Linked DNA regions of Daphnia pulex. Each later gene encodes a partner of the first gene's protein in a complex. Links are inferred from orthologs where the notes say so. Each region holds a gene or a part of one and is shown in the gene's direction. Other genes may lie near its edges.

The links. Proteins that work in one complex are often made in the same cells at the same time.
Region 2: the proteins of origin recognition complex subunit 5-like (region 1) and origin recognition complex subunit 4-like are in contact, whole or in part, in a crystal structure (PDB 4XGC), measured with the Drosophila melanogaster proteins. The link is inferred for Daphnia pulex from reciprocal best matches to the Drosophila melanogaster genes Orc5 and Orc4. Residues at the interface, in NP_477132.1 of Drosophila melanogaster: Met1, Glu2, Glu20, Glu24, Leu25, Asp28, Ser30, Glu31, Thr32, Tyr33, Pro34, Ser35, Phe40, Gly41, His42, Asn100, Met101, Leu102, Val105, Glu106, Arg109, Arg115, Arg132, Asn137, Val141, Arg144, Gln146, Leu148, Asn150, Leu151; in NP_477320.1 of Drosophila melanogaster: Val9, Arg12, Arg13, Lys16, Glu17, Gln20, Arg21, Tyr23, Arg58, Asp89, Asn91, Leu92, His93, Val98, Ser102, Glu147, Tyr250, Arg253, Asn254, Asp257, Glu260, Tyr261, Ala299, Tyr300, Asn303, Phe306, Arg307, Ala310, His311, Arg313.

What each region holds. Positions count from the first base shown.
Region 1 is NC_060025.1:8,382,019-8,389,181, forward strand, and holds origin recognition complex subunit 5-like, read left to right. Parts: upstream 1-3,576; 5' UTR 3,577-3,621; coding exon 3,622-3,711; intron 3,712-3,782; coding exon 3,783-4,218; intron 4,219-4,278; coding exon 4,279-4,841; intron 4,842-4,943; coding exon 4,944-5,059; intron 5,060-5,191; coding exon 5,192-5,240; 3' UTR 5,241-5,254; exon of another isoform or gene 5,255-5,347; 3' UTR 5,348-5,427; downstream 5,428-7,163. Other genes in the region: DDB1- and CUL4-associated factor 11-like, read left to right, coding at 1-32, 99-280, 344-582, 649-752, 816-971, 1,039-1,145, 1,210-1,491; dnaJ homolog subfamily C member 25 homolog, read right to left, coding at 2,094-2,989, 3,059-3,170; plastin-1-like, read left to right, coding at 5,926-6,018. UniProt on the Drosophila melanogaster protein: Component of the origin recognition complex (ORC) that binds origins of replication. DNA-binding is ATP-dependent, however specific DNA sequences that define origins of replication have not been identified so far.
Region 2 is NC_060020.1:1,000,118-1,007,493, forward strand, and holds origin recognition complex subunit 4-like, read left to right. Parts: upstream 1-3,668; 5' UTR 3,669-3,725; coding exon 3,726-3,920; intron 3,921-3,980; coding exon 3,981-4,106; intron 4,107-4,180; coding exon 4,181-4,229; intron 4,230-4,299; coding exon 4,300-4,451; intron 4,452-4,532; coding exon 4,533-4,835; intron 4,836-4,939; coding exon 4,940-5,074; intron 5,075-5,197; coding exon 5,198-5,347; intron 5,348-5,437; coding exon 5,438-5,602; 3' UTR 5,603-5,727; downstream 5,728-7,376. Other genes in the region: uncharacterized protein LOC124192633, read right to left, coding at 25-297, 417-552; uncharacterized protein LOC124192631, read right to left, coding at 5,842-6,539, 6,662-7,254, 7,346-7,376.

The sequences.
Region 1 (7,163 bases):
TTCCATCATTTATTCTAGTTGGTCGGAAGCCAGTAAGTACCTTGAAACATAATTCGACTTAGTAAAAATGTTGTTAATGCGTTTGGTTCCATTTTCAGTCCACCTTTGTAACATTTACGATGAGGTGGAAAGACATGAAGTTCTCCCACTTTCCCCGGAACTCCGACGGTTTTGTATTTTCAGCCTTACTTTTTCTCAAGACGGAAATGAAGTATTGGGTGGTGCCAATGACGGCTGTTTGTACATTTACGATTGCGAAAAACGACAGAGAACGCTCAGGGTAAAATTACTATTTTGTTTCGTACCCACCAACAGTCCTTAATTAACCTCCCATCTTGTTTAGATTGATGCCCACGAAGAGGACGTGAATACTGTGGCCTATGCTGACGAAACTTCGCAGATCCTATTTTCTGGAGCGGATGATGGATTATGCAAAGTTTGGGATCGTCGAACGTTGGCGGAAAACGGAGAGGCTAAACCGGTGGGCATTCTTGGTGGCCATGTTGACGGACTTACGTTCGTCGACTCGCGTGGAGATGGCAGACATTTGATTACAAATAGCAAGGACCAATCCATCAAGCTGTAATCTCAATACTTGTTTTATCTATCGTAAAAAAAAAAACATTTAAAAAATGTGCGATTAATTAGATGGGACATGCGCAAATTCTCAGGAAACGAAGTTCAACAAAAGACTAGAATGCTTATGAACGCCCAAAGTTGGGATTATAGTTTCCAAAACGTTCCGTGGAGGCGTAAGTTAACTTTTTGTTATTGTTTATGTTTAAAATCTCAACTGAATTATTATTCTTTGGCAGTGGCTTCTCCCAAAAACAAGATCGCCGGTGATACTAGTTTGATGACATACCGCGGACACAGTGTCTTAAGAACTTTAATCCGATGCCGTTTCAGTCCAGCATTTAGCACTGGGCAACGATATATTTACAGTGGTTGTGCAGCTGGAAAAATTTTCAGTGAGACCCCAATAACCTAGTATTATCAATCTAAACCAATTTAATTTTTAAATATTTGCAATTTTAGTTTATGATGTCCTGACTGGAAAGCCTGCAGCGATTCTGACTGGTCATTCTGAATGTGTTCGGGACGTCTCTTGGCATCCATACTCCATGGATATTATCGATTCAGCGGTATGAAATATTATTTCTAATTTTTCTCTATGAATTCCCAAAGTTTAATCAACCGGGGTAATAGTGGGACGGCCGACACTTCAAGTGGTTCCATTCCTCAGCCGATTCCGAGGACGAAATGGATTTGGACACGGAAGAGTACATTACCGACAGCGAATCCAACGATTCCAATCCTAATTGGATGCAGAGGCAGCGCCGCTCATATCGAGATGACGACGCGGCTGATGGCGGAGGTGATCGCGAAGTGCGTAGGAGTCCACGACTGGCCGCTCGAGCAACTCCACAGACGGCCCGGAGAACGTCACAGAGGCAGCGACAAGCAGCCAGCCGCCGCCCTCTTTCATAAGTCTTGTCCGCACCATATATCCTTTAATACAACACACTTGTTTCGAAACACTTCATAACTACAAAAAAAAAACGCAACGCAGTCATTTGTTTCAATTCTGTGTACAGTTATTGGTGTTACCTTTAACTGAAGCAGGCGTGGTGCGCTCAATTCACGCGCTTCTATCGATACGTTAACCTTCCCTCTTTTATTTTACTTTTTTGTGATAGATGATCAACTTCCTCCCGGGTACGATGCATCTAGTTGTGCTGGATAATTTGATGCGTGTGAAACTCTCAAGTAAATGAGAGTGGAAATTTCCAAGAACAATTCTTCTTGTTATTTGTATAATTATTTTTTTTTTTTCATTTTTTTCTCCTGGGTCTTTTATATGTTTATAAAAAAAGGTCTACGTGTACTACTTTTGGGAAGACGGAAATACAGGGCTAAATTCTACGCCAATACGGATTTCTACTCAGCAGAGATTTACAATAACTGCAATTTGATATTTTTGTATTTCGTCAAACAAGGGCGTGAAAAGACTCACTGTCATATGAGATTGGTAAATCACAACACGGGATGAACTTGGATGATGAAGCCACCTAATTTGTCAAATATCTTGATTATGAATCGTCAAAGGTGAGTCGGCTCGTTCCTTTCTTCATGTAACGTCTGTACGCTTTGTGGCGAGCAGATTGAGAGAGTTCTCGTTTCAGATCTTCTTCCTTCTCTGCCTTCCAATCGACTGCATTCGACTTAATCCAAAGTTCCAGTTCGAGATATTCTTCTCGGGTATGGTCCTCAAGAGCATCGAATTCGAGCTGAGAAAGCTTCAGGTTCTTCTTGATCAAATACAACTTTTCTTCTTCACCGTACTCTTCTTTTCGGATGTCAAACTTGTAGACCCAGATAATGTACCAACGGACGTACTGGTAGATGGTGTAGGGCAGAATGATGAGCTGGAACCACAGTATTTGCTTCCAGTCTGGTTTAGAATAGCCTCCGCGAATATCCATTTTCTCTTCGATGACTTTTCGAATAATTTGCTCCTTTTCCTCCTTCTCTTTGGACTTGTCTTTGACTTTCTTGCTGGTATTTTCATTGAACAAGCCTTCTTTCTTGGCAATTTCAAGTGCATGTATCCTGTATTTTTGCACAGTGGTCAAATACTTTATGGCAGTATCATAGCGTTCCCAGGCAGTGTAGTACTGGATCCCAGAAATGATGGTGACACACACAGCAAGAATCAATCTGATGTCGACATTTGGAGCTGTACGCCGTCTGTAATATCTGTAGTAATGCATGTACATTTCTTCTGGATTGTCAACCATGTAGTCATAATCTTCTCTGGAGGCATTATCACTCAGAATTTCATAGGCAGTGGCTATTCTACGAAAATTCTTCTCAGCTTCTTCTTTAGTCACCTCAGGCCCTTGCACATCAGGATGGTACTTCTTTGCAAGAACTCGATAAGCCTTTCCTATAGCACTCCTAGAGCTCTCTCTCGTCACACCAAGCACTAAAATTAAAAAAAAAGAGAAAGCGTTATTACTGAACGTTTTAAAATTAGGTTAACGAAATAGCTCACCATCGTAACAGTTCTCGACTCCACAGTAGAGTCCTTCAATCAAGGAATGGACATATGAGACGTTCAAAAAAACGCAGAAGGTAACAATAAATAGATATGATTTCATTTTCATTATTTTATAAAACAATTATTCCTAATACGATCGATCCACAGTCAAAGTTACAATTTTTTGCAGTTTATCCAACAAGTAGCATAGCGGCACATGCCATTGAGCAAACTGACCCAACTGAACAAACTGTAAAAGTGACAGGAATAGCAGACTACGACACACATTCCTGTCAGCCAACAAGTTCCACGTAATAATAACGGGACAAAAATTGAGATGAAAGCTTACTTACGTAACATTAAGTTTATTATTATCAAATTTATTAAAAAAATTTTAGCAAGACAAAATTTTGCTAGAAAAGTTTCAGTAATTTCATTAAAAATTAGAAATTGGTTTCATTTTTCTGAATATGAATCTGGCAATGTCTACGTTTCATTTCTCCCGCTACGAATTCGCCACTTCTGTTATCTTGATTTTTAAGTTTCTTTTGGCGAGTGAAAGAGCTACGAGAAAAACAATGGAAATAAATTCCATAAAAGAGAATCTAAAAGCTGAAATACCTCATCGAGAACAACAAATTGAAATCTTGGCGGATATCCTTCAAAGCGTGAGACTTGTTATGATTCTTGGGATGTTTACGTCAAATATTTATGAGAACGTGATTGAATTTATTTGCAGAATGCCCTTCCACCTTTCCTGTATGTATATGGCCACACGTCAACCGGAAAATCGTTAGTAGTCCAACGAGTGATTGAATCTGTGGAACATGTTCAGTATGCAGCAATTCACTGCATTGAATGCCTCAGTCCACGCTTTCTCTATGAATCTGTCCTTGAACAGCTGGGAAGTCAAGAACGATGTGACAATGCCAATGAATTTGCCAGATACCTCAAGCAGCTTGGTGATACCAGACCGATTTGTATTGTACTTGATAAGGCCGAAAGGATGCGAGACTTGAGTGATGGAATGATCATCCCAACACTGACCAAAATCCCAGAGTTTACAGGTCTCAACATTTGCATCATCTTCATTTCAGAAATCCCCTTTGAGAAGTTTCGGTGTGGCACTGGAAGTCTCGATCCCATACAGATATTTTTCCCCCAGTATAGCAAAGGTATTTATTGATTCAATTGTAAACACAACATCTTAATCAACCATTTCTCAAATTTTGTAGAAGAAATTCTGGATCTACTGATGAAGGAATGCCGACAACCTGAACATTCATCTCTTTACCAGACATATCTTTCCATGATATTGGGTGTCTTCCTGGTGGCTTGTCGCGATTTCTGCGAACTTCGCTACATAGCCGCGCAGCATTGGGAAGCCTTTATGGAGCCCATCCATTCGGGCGAAATCGACAAAACTCAATCAGTGAAATTATGGCGACATCTTGAACCGAAACTTCGCTCCAGTCTGAACCAAGTTTACGTCCGAGGTCCTGATGCATGCGGGACCCAAATAGGCCTGAAAATGGAGCTTCCATTCTTCTCCAAGTTCCTTATCATCGCTGCCTATCTGGCGAGTTACAATCCGCCCCGTTACGATCGTCGTTTATTCGTCAAAGCCAAAGAAGGCAGGAAGAAGAAAGACAAAGGTCTCAAGTCATTGAAGAAGCAAAAGTTGCACAACGCCGCCCGTTTGATGGGACCCAAAGTCTTCCCCATCGATCGATTGATGGCCATTTTCTATTCGATCGTTGAGGAACGAGTTACGCCGTCCCTAAATATATTTGTGCAGGTCTGAGCTCTTTTTTTTTTCCTTGTTGTTGTTAATCGCGTTATTTTTTGGCCAATTATTTACGTTCGAGATTGTGACGCCTCTTCGTTGTTCGACACACAGATTTCTACTTTGGTTTCCCTAAAGCTCATCACACACACGGGATCAGCGGCCATGTTTCAAGGAGTTCCGAAATACCGGTGCAATGCCGGTTACGATCTAGTCAGAAGTTTAGCCAGGTAAACATTTAAATTTAAATAGATTACCTCCGAGTTCAACCGTTAATCTAGTCCATGTTTTACGATACCAAAAGATTAAACTACTTGACACGATTACAATAATAAATGCTCACAAATTTCTTTTGATTACAGGACGGTGAATTTCGAGCTGGGACGTTACCTCTACGACACAACTGTTTGATCTTGCTTTAAATTGTAGGCAGTATATTATTTCCCTCACTTGATAACAAAAGAAGAGAATTAGCCTTGTATTATATTTATTAAAATTTTTCTTTTTTTTTCTTCAAGTTTTCTTTATAAACCCGTGTCCCCGCCCCCTACATCCTCGAGTAAGAGATAACAAACAAGTACACACCTCATTTCTTAAACTTTTCTTTTTTTTTGAAACTCTTAACCGAGTGTCGGAATGATGAAGTAATCAAATTACAACCCAGAAAAAGATAAGAAAGGCGACGTTTTTCAATTATATATAAATGTGTTCATGACTAAGACGATTTCTGACCGACGTCTGTTCACAAAAAAAAACCCTTTATCATATTAGACCACATATGGTCATAAGAGTCTCTGTAATTCGGTGAAGCGATATCAAGTTGATTCCCCCCCTAAGCGGATACTATTTACCGTCGTGTGTGTGTAAAAGGCGTTGTTTGATTTCTAATCGCCCCAACAAAAAATATATAGCAGCTGATAAGGCACATGTATAAGAGCTACGTCGAGGGCGGGGTCACAGAGGGGGGAAGGAAATGAAAAGTGGGAAGGGCCAAGCCGCAAACGTTTTTTTGAAAAAAGACCCCGCTTGGGGCTTTTAAATAAACCGGCGAGCACACGACGGCAACAGTGCCTTGCCAGACGTCAAGCCAAGTAAGATGGCGCTACACCAGTGGAATGGAGCTGCTTCTTCGAATATACGTAAATTTTCCGAAGAAGAACGACAAGAACTTCGTGAACAGTTTGCCAGCGTGAGTGTGGATATTATTACCGTTATATTCCATTTTTATTTTCACAATCACCACAATCTTTTGGGTATTTGTGTGGCTTGATTAGCTTAATCAGGTTATACCAGCTCTCGAAAAATTTCGGTTTGAGTAGCAGATGACAGGTCTCAACTGTCAGAGCCCCGCCTAAGTTAATTGACTTTCCTTATTTCTATTCCTGACACGGCGAAAAAAGAGAAAGAAAAACCTTATTTCTTTTTTTATTTCTTACGAGGAAAGAGAAAACGATAAAAGAATGTTTAATTCTTTTCGAATGTCTGAATTTTTCTCGGTCGTTTCCAAAAGCTATGTGGGATTCGACACAGGAAAATGTGATCGTTACCTGCTGATATAGCCCACATAGTACATACGTGTGTGTTATATTTGTTTTGTTTTTATCGTATCCGTTTTTTGAATTGAGAGCAAAAGTCGTCAACGATAATTTTTACTCGTTTTCCAGCTTTGATTCGATTGTTGAGCGACCGATACTTGTGCATCGGTATGAGTCACGTTTTTCTGTAGTTCCGCCGCCAAATATGGACGTCTCTTTTTTTTAGTTAACTTTTCTCTTATCGAATCGACATTTCTTGAATCGTTTCGTTGTGTGGACTTCTTGTAAAAAACCCACACGACCGGACATCCTGTCGTCACTTTCCCATTCGCCGCTATTCCGACGATTGCGTCACGATGTCGAAACACCCATTTCTGCCATTTTGCGTGATATATACAGTTGGAGAGGCTTTAACAAATAATTCCCCAAGTAGTAGTAAAGTCAAGTAAGTACTAGTGGCAGAGCGTTAGATAACAGGCGAAGACAGGAGAATGATTTTCTGGCCTCAAGGAAAAAAACAAAAAAGGTTTAAAAAAGAAAAATGATAATTATTGTTTTCCCTAAAATTCTTTTGCCCTTAAACAAGTGGAGTGTCTTGGCGTGAGGAAGATTCTTGTGTTATTCCTCTGACTCTTTTTAAAAAACAGTCTTGTGTGTGCCTTATATGGCCTTGGTAAAGTAGTTTCCCGCTATGGAAATGAAGCCGAGCCTCGGTCGATTCAAGGCCCCCCACCTTTTTCTTCTTCTTTCATCTTTCCTTCCTTCTTCTTCTTCTTTTATCTTCTTCTTCTCCCCCCAA
Region 2 (7,376 bases), on another chromosome or scaffold:
GTCTATGTATTCAGTTCTACTTACCCGGTGAAGTATAAAGTACGCCGTATGTCTTCACCATTCTGTTAAACTTGGTATCGCCGGTTTTTCCATTCATTATGTCATTCACCGTGTCGATGAAAAGATAGATTTTGTCCAAGGTTAACTGCGGGCTAACTAGCGATTTGGCGTTTAGTTTGCGACTCGTCTGCGTCATACGGTCGAACCTTGAGCGCCATGTCTTCATCACAGTGACAGAATCATTCTTAGAAGATTCAGACGTAGATTTAGTCACCTTTCCCCCATCCACTGGGTGCCCTGGAATACGAATTTGTTATTGGGAAATGAGTTGTGCAATCAAACAACGTTATAATGTCCCAGTGAGATAACAGCTTTTCAATTCAACATTGCATCATAAACACTGCATAAACACTCACCTTGCGTGCCATTGAAGTTGGTCGACTGTAGATCGGATGTCAAAGAAGGGGCACTTGCACAAGTGGAGGTCAGTTGAGAAAGACAAACAAGTCCCGATAAAACCCAAACTTTGAAAACAAGCGCTGTGGCGACCATCTTATGGGGTTGATTCTCGATGTGTGTTGTGGTTATAGTGGAAGGCTATTATATCTTTTCAATCGTTGCCCAAGGATATAAACACTAGCTGGGGGGAAAAATGAGTTCGGACTTGGGAGGGTAGGCCTCTGTAAACGAACTAGGCGACCATAGCAAACACCTGTTGTAATACAAACACTAAAATTCTATATCAAACTGCCCATCATCAACGACGGCCAGTTGCACTGCTGCAGTGTGCACTTGTGTCGTTGGATAGAACATCGCCCAGACTGAGCAAGGTGCGCTGTGTATCGCTTCTGCATGCATGTGTACACGAGGAAAAGACTTGTCGAGTGAGATTTGGTCGACGCGGAAAACCTGCAAAACGACACGCGCATAGGAGGTAGCGTGGCTCCTGCATTGTGGGCAGAATATATCTAGGTTAATACGAATCCTGCTCAACCCCGCCCATCGATTTCCATTGGATCCTCTTGCTTGGCCTCGGCAAGAGACAAAAAACAAAAAACAAGGTAGGCTTCTTCTTTTTTTCTTTTGATTCGAGTTCAAACGAATGAAAAAAGAGGGGGTCTTGACGAAGAAAGGTGGAAGAAAAAACCGGATTGCTATGCATGCACACTGGTCTTTTTAAGGTCTCAGGTTTTTCTTGCCTGGAAGTGATTCTGCCCGCCTCCGTTCTCCAGCTTTTTCTCGGTATTCCTCAGCAGCTCACTATTTAAAAGCAGAAACAAAAAGTTAGAACCAGCACAGGTGCTCGTGTAAGCTTCTAGACGATTTTTTGCTGGAATTTATAAGAAAAAAAGACAACTTCTTTCTGACTTCTTTGTAATATAAATCTAAGCCCTATGGCAGCGAATTGATTGTTTGTTTTTTTTTCTGGTCTCGTTGGTCTGAGTTTTTTTTATTCACCGTTAGTCAAGACTTCAAGTATTACTCAAGTCGCTGGAGACCGATTCACGTTTTGCCAGAGTCTGTTTAGTGTTTACAAAAATGTGAACTTCCTCTTTAGAAATGAAATCGATTGGAATCTTCCAAGTCATCGCAAACAATATCTGAACTTTTGACCGAAGCATTAAAATCTTGTAATCAAAAAAATTATGTGCCGAAGGAAAGTAAAAAATCCAAGTAGAAATTATTCGTTAATGATGCGTCGCAAATTAGGTCTTTTTTTTAAAGTACGAATAAGGAAATAAAGGATCGCTGAACTGTTATTATACAGGGTTATCCCCAGGGAGTCGAATAATGCAAGACGCTTACATGCTTAAGTAAATATATAGAATACTATCTGCAGCTAGAAAAAAATATAAGAATTCTGAATCTGGTTCTGGGTCTATATATACACTGTGCAACTATAAAAACCAGGAAAAGAATGTAATCACACAACAAAAATGTTTGTCGAAAGGGGGAGGGAGACATGGACTCGGGAGTCCGAAATGCCAGCACGATTTCGTTTCGATTAAGCAGAATCACTTTTGGAGTTCAATAATCGCTTCAAAAAATTTATGTGCCGGAAAACACAGTGGTGCAAAAAATAGAAATAACATCAAATAAAAATAAACCACACAAAAAAAAAAAAAATCGAGGAAATCTGAAGAATTGTTCCACGGAATATTTCAAAATCTATTCTAAATTATTTGCTGGTAGATTTATTGATTTTTTAACGATGAAATACTATTATCTTCACTTTGTTTTAAGGTGCGAGATTTTGTGTCGATTAGCACAAAAATTGCTAAATCTTTGATGTTATTCATTTTAGTATACTTTAACGACTGGCCAACGCCCTGATCAGGGCGGAGCAATAATTTGAATCGCCCCAAGGTAGCAAATATTTGTTGCGTTGTAACATTTTTTTGCATCCGCGATCTCATTTACAAAACCTGGGAATTCTTTTCTTACATATGTCAAGAAGAAAAAAAATGCGGTTGCACCAACAGCATATTTTTGTATCAACCTATTTATACGAAGAAATTCTATCTCAGGACTCAGGTTCACCAATAACCAAAAATGGGATCTTTCAAGTGGCAGAAATAAATGTGACTTTAATCTTGTTCTACTTTGCGCGCAAATAATTAATTTGCGATTTTTCAGCAGACTGACAGAAACGCACCCATAAGGAATGTGGCAGCTCAGCCATTCTACAGAAAAAAAAGAAATAATTTACTTTGTTTTTCCCGTCGGCATTTACGTCACCAATTTATCAACTGATCGAACCATATACGATCACGTTTCACCGGCATACAGTCACTGCTGAATACACAATCCAGGATTTAGTGACAGGAGCATCTGTGACTTTATGGTTATCCAAATTAAATGGAAAAATGATGCAACTTGATTTGGTCATAACACGGACCTTGAAACTAGTTATGCAGAGAAAAGACAACGGCTCCACCCAAATCGGAAATCACCTACTGTTCGAACGGTACCTCGATTGTCCTTTTCACATTCCATACCAAATATGAAGTTTTCGATCATCAAAGTGTTTGTTTTCTAGTTCTTTTGCCTACCAGGAAATCTGTGTAACAACTCAAAATAATTTTATCTTCAGGATAACAAGCTAAGTCAAACAAGTAACACTCCACAGGCTGGCTCAACTTTTTTTTTCTTAGTGCAAGTTGTGCCAAATATTTTGTCAATTTACCACTCACCGCGGGCGTGGAGAGCGGAGACCTTAATTATTTTGTACCTTAATCCCCCTGCTGCGGTTCACTCATTTATCATATGGGCCAAATTAGATACCTAAGTATACATTCGGTGTCTTAATCACTTATACATATGATTCACCAATTTCAGAAATAAGCTAAACTATGAGATATCGATCAGATACGATTTTACGTACAATACACAAGCCTTCGAATATAATCTGTGGAACCGATGGGCAAGACGGTTTAAAAGATTTAAAACCAACTGCGTTAACAAAGTATTTCATATGCGTATATACATACAGTTCACGTCACACGAAAATGCTATGAATAACTGACTTGTTTGTTTTTTTGTGTGAGTTTGGTTTTCTTGTGATTTGTTAAGTAATTTGAAAATCTAGAGAGATTACATTGTGCTGCCACCTTGTAACAACAAACAAACATATTTTGACAGCACAATGTTTATGTGTCAGTTTGCGCGCCCTTTTTCAGTCAAACATCGTCTGCACGATTCAAAATCCAGTACGTGATACGATAATGGCATCTTGCACTGATATTTGTCGTAATATTCTATTAGAACGAATGGTTTTTAACAATCATTCTAGTATTTCAGTTCCTGATGAATTTTTAGAACACAAGAATTACGTTTTTAATTTACTTAAAAGCACGGTGCAAAATGGAGAAAACAATTCAGCTCTCCTAATTGGACCGAGAGGAAGTGGGAAAACCTTGGTAAGCACCTATACTCCTTTTAAATGATTGATGCAGCTTAATAATTTGTTAAATTTGTAGTTGATCAACAGTGTGCTGGCTGAACTGGAAGCTGTCTGTGACTTTGAGAAAGATTATGTTGTCATTAAGTTGCATGGCTTCTTCCAAACTGATGATCGGATAGCCATTCAAGAAATCACTCGCCAAGTAACTTTCTTTCAGTTTTGTTTGTAATGACCCTCCTGACAATTTTTTAAATTTATTGTGACATCTCTTTTTAGCTATTTTTAGAGGAGGAAGCAGCTGGCAGAGCATTTGGCTCATTTTCAGGTAAATTGTAACAGTTTAGATTTTTGCTTCTTTTATAAAGGTTATTTGAATATTTCCCTTTTTCTTCTAGAGAATCTAAATTTTCTTCTGAATTCCTTGAAGATGGCTGACAGGAAAAAAGCAAAATCCATCATTTTTATAATGGACGAATTTGATCAGTTTTGTCAGCATAAAAATCAAACTTTATTATACAATCTATTTGATGTTTGCCAATCTGCTCAAGTATAAAGCTTCATTCGCATATTCTCTCTTTCCTCACTTTTCAACATTTACAATAACATAATCTCATCTTATCGCATTTAGGCGCCAATGGCTGTCATTGGATTGACATGTAGAATGGATGCCATTTCTTTGTTTGAAAAGAGAGTGAGGTCTAGGTTCTCTCATCGACAAATTTATTTGTTTGTGAAACCTGATTTCACGAGATACACGGAAACGTTTGTCAATTTACTTCAGTTGGTGCGTGCTCCTCCCGGATTAAAACCCATATACGTTCGCAGCTGGGACAAGTCTATTAAGGATCTTGCACAAGATCCATTAGTCGAAGGCACACTCAAGAAACTATTCAACCTCAATCCGAAACTCCGTCTTCTGCAAAACATATTGGTACTTATTATTATCGTGTAGATAGCAGCCTGCACTTGACTGTTATCAGAATAAGGAACGCCAATAACGTACCCGTATTATTCTTGAATTTTACGCACTTAAAGCTGGTGGCAGTATGTCGCCTGGGCAAGAATCATCCTTTCCTCTCATCCAAGGACATTGTCAGCGCCATCGAGTCTCAAACTACGGATTGCAAAACATTACAACTCCAGGGCTTATCTGTCCTCGAACTGCAGTTGGTGAGTATAGTAAAAGAGAAATTTCGCATATTGCCTAGCTAAGCATCATAAAATGAAAACGTTTTTATTTTGGCCAACTTGTATACATTATATTGATTCCTCCTTGAACTCGTTCATTTATAGTTACTCTGCATGAAATACTTGGATAAAATTTACTTTGGTGAACCTTGCAATTACGAAATGGCCTTTTACGAGTATACCAAGCAAATGAAAAGCAGTTCGATGCAGAAATTCGACCGGCAAATCGCGATGAAGGCAATGGAACACCTCGAGGTAAATAACAAAAAAAGTTTGCCCAGCTTTTTAACGTAATAATTTGATGGCGGAAAATGAACAACATGCTACTTAATTTTCCTTTTGTAGACTTTGGAGCTGATCCGGCCCGTTGAGGGGGTTTCTTGCTCGAAGGTTCAGAAAGAATTTGTTGTTTACCATATTCTCATCACGTCAGAGCAGTTAACAGCTGCTCTCTCCAAGTATCCCAATCTTCCCACCGAAGTGAAACAGTTGGCAGACACGTGCCTCTGAGAAAACATTCCAATGCCACGGCATGATGCGTAATAAAGTTCTCCCAAGTCCATTGTGTTTTTCAAGGTGTATCATTTGTGAATCTGCCGAGACAAGAGAAAACAGAAATAAAAGCCAAACACACACGCGCAAGTACAGTTACAGTATATTAATATACAATGGCACTGCTCCATACAACACACAGCACGGTAAATAGTGAAATAATATTATAGATTAGGTAACTTATGGTGATTTTTATTTTACACATTGACGGCCCTCATAACGGAATCGTTGTCTTCCGATTCCGAATCCATCTGAGTCGACTCCACTTCCATTTCCGTGGGGATAGTTCCGTGAAACTGGCTGGTCAGAATGGCCACTTCTTCGTCGGGCGAGAGGGTGCGCGGTTTCTTCTCGTCGAAATCCAAGTTGGTGACGTTTTCGTAGACTTCTCCTTCGGCGAAACGGGCATCGCTGACGTTGCTGCTGCCGCCAGACGGCACAACGGCCGCTCGACGATAAGGAACGAATGAACAGGTATCGGCGGTCATGTCTGGCTGACCTGGCGGCACCCAGTGCGACGACTGCTGGCCGTTGGTGTTGGTGCAGTTGATGAACTTGGGCACGACGATGGGCGAGAACATTTTCTCCTTGCTGACAGTGTCAGCGCTGTGTCGCGATCGTGGCTGCCCTCCAGCTCCAGCCAAGTGGACACCGGGTGGGGGCCGTTGATTCTGTCCGTCCCAACTGGATCTCTGGCAGGGCTTGCCGCCGCTACGGATACTTGTGACTTTGGCAACGGGGCGCTGGATTTTGTCGTATCGGTGACCGTGAATTTCCTCATACATGGCAGACGAGTTGCTGCTGTCGTGGTTCACCGAGACGGCATACGAGGATGTATCAGCGAAATAGAGTTCAGATTCCGGTACCAATTTACCGCTGCTCATATCTCTTCTACCTGGAAACCGGTATTTAACACAGGCCGGAGGGGGGAAGAAAGAAAAATAAAACAAATGAAATATAGCTACCAACAAGTTACAGCTGTGCATTAGCTCGGAAAACAAGTTGCACAACACATACCAGATGGCGATCCTGTTTGGTGAGCCGCTGGAAGATTTCTGGCTGTCAACAGCGGCGGACCGCTAGAGATGACGGACGGATTGATACCAGCCGTCTGCGGACTCCACGGCATCCGGCGCGGATCCATATTCATCCGGCTGACTGGGGAAGGATGGACACCAGAGGCCATACTTTTATTTTGCTGCTGCTGCTGCTGGCGTGACGGTAAGTTCACAGGGAAACCTGGGGCGGCCCTGTGATCCTTTCTCAGCGAACTGTCTTTACTTCCTCCTCCTCCGACGGCACTGCTGCTGGCCGTTGGCGAAGAGCCCAGTCCGATGTGCTGGTCTTTGGTGGAGACGGGGCTGCGATGAGCCGGTGAAAGGCTTCCTATGGGGGTCGATGCAGATATGGAGCCCAATTCGCTAGTACTGCCCCTGGAATACGGCGGCGGAGGACCCCATCCGGCCACTCTCTCCGGCCCGGCTACTCCTCCTCCAGCAGCATTCGTCAAAGCCAGCGGCGAGCGGTAATTGCTGCCATTGCTGCTCAATGGGAAGCCGTAATGATCATCTGGCCCTATCATGACGGGTCCAGGGTCATTCGCTGTCCTTCTGTTGGTATCGTAAAATGAAAAATGTTAATTTCCAGCCAATAAACCAGAGAAAACCGCTCGACTAATGAAAATGTAAGTAAGTACTATACCTGGTCCGCACGGTGCTGCTGACGTCGCTGC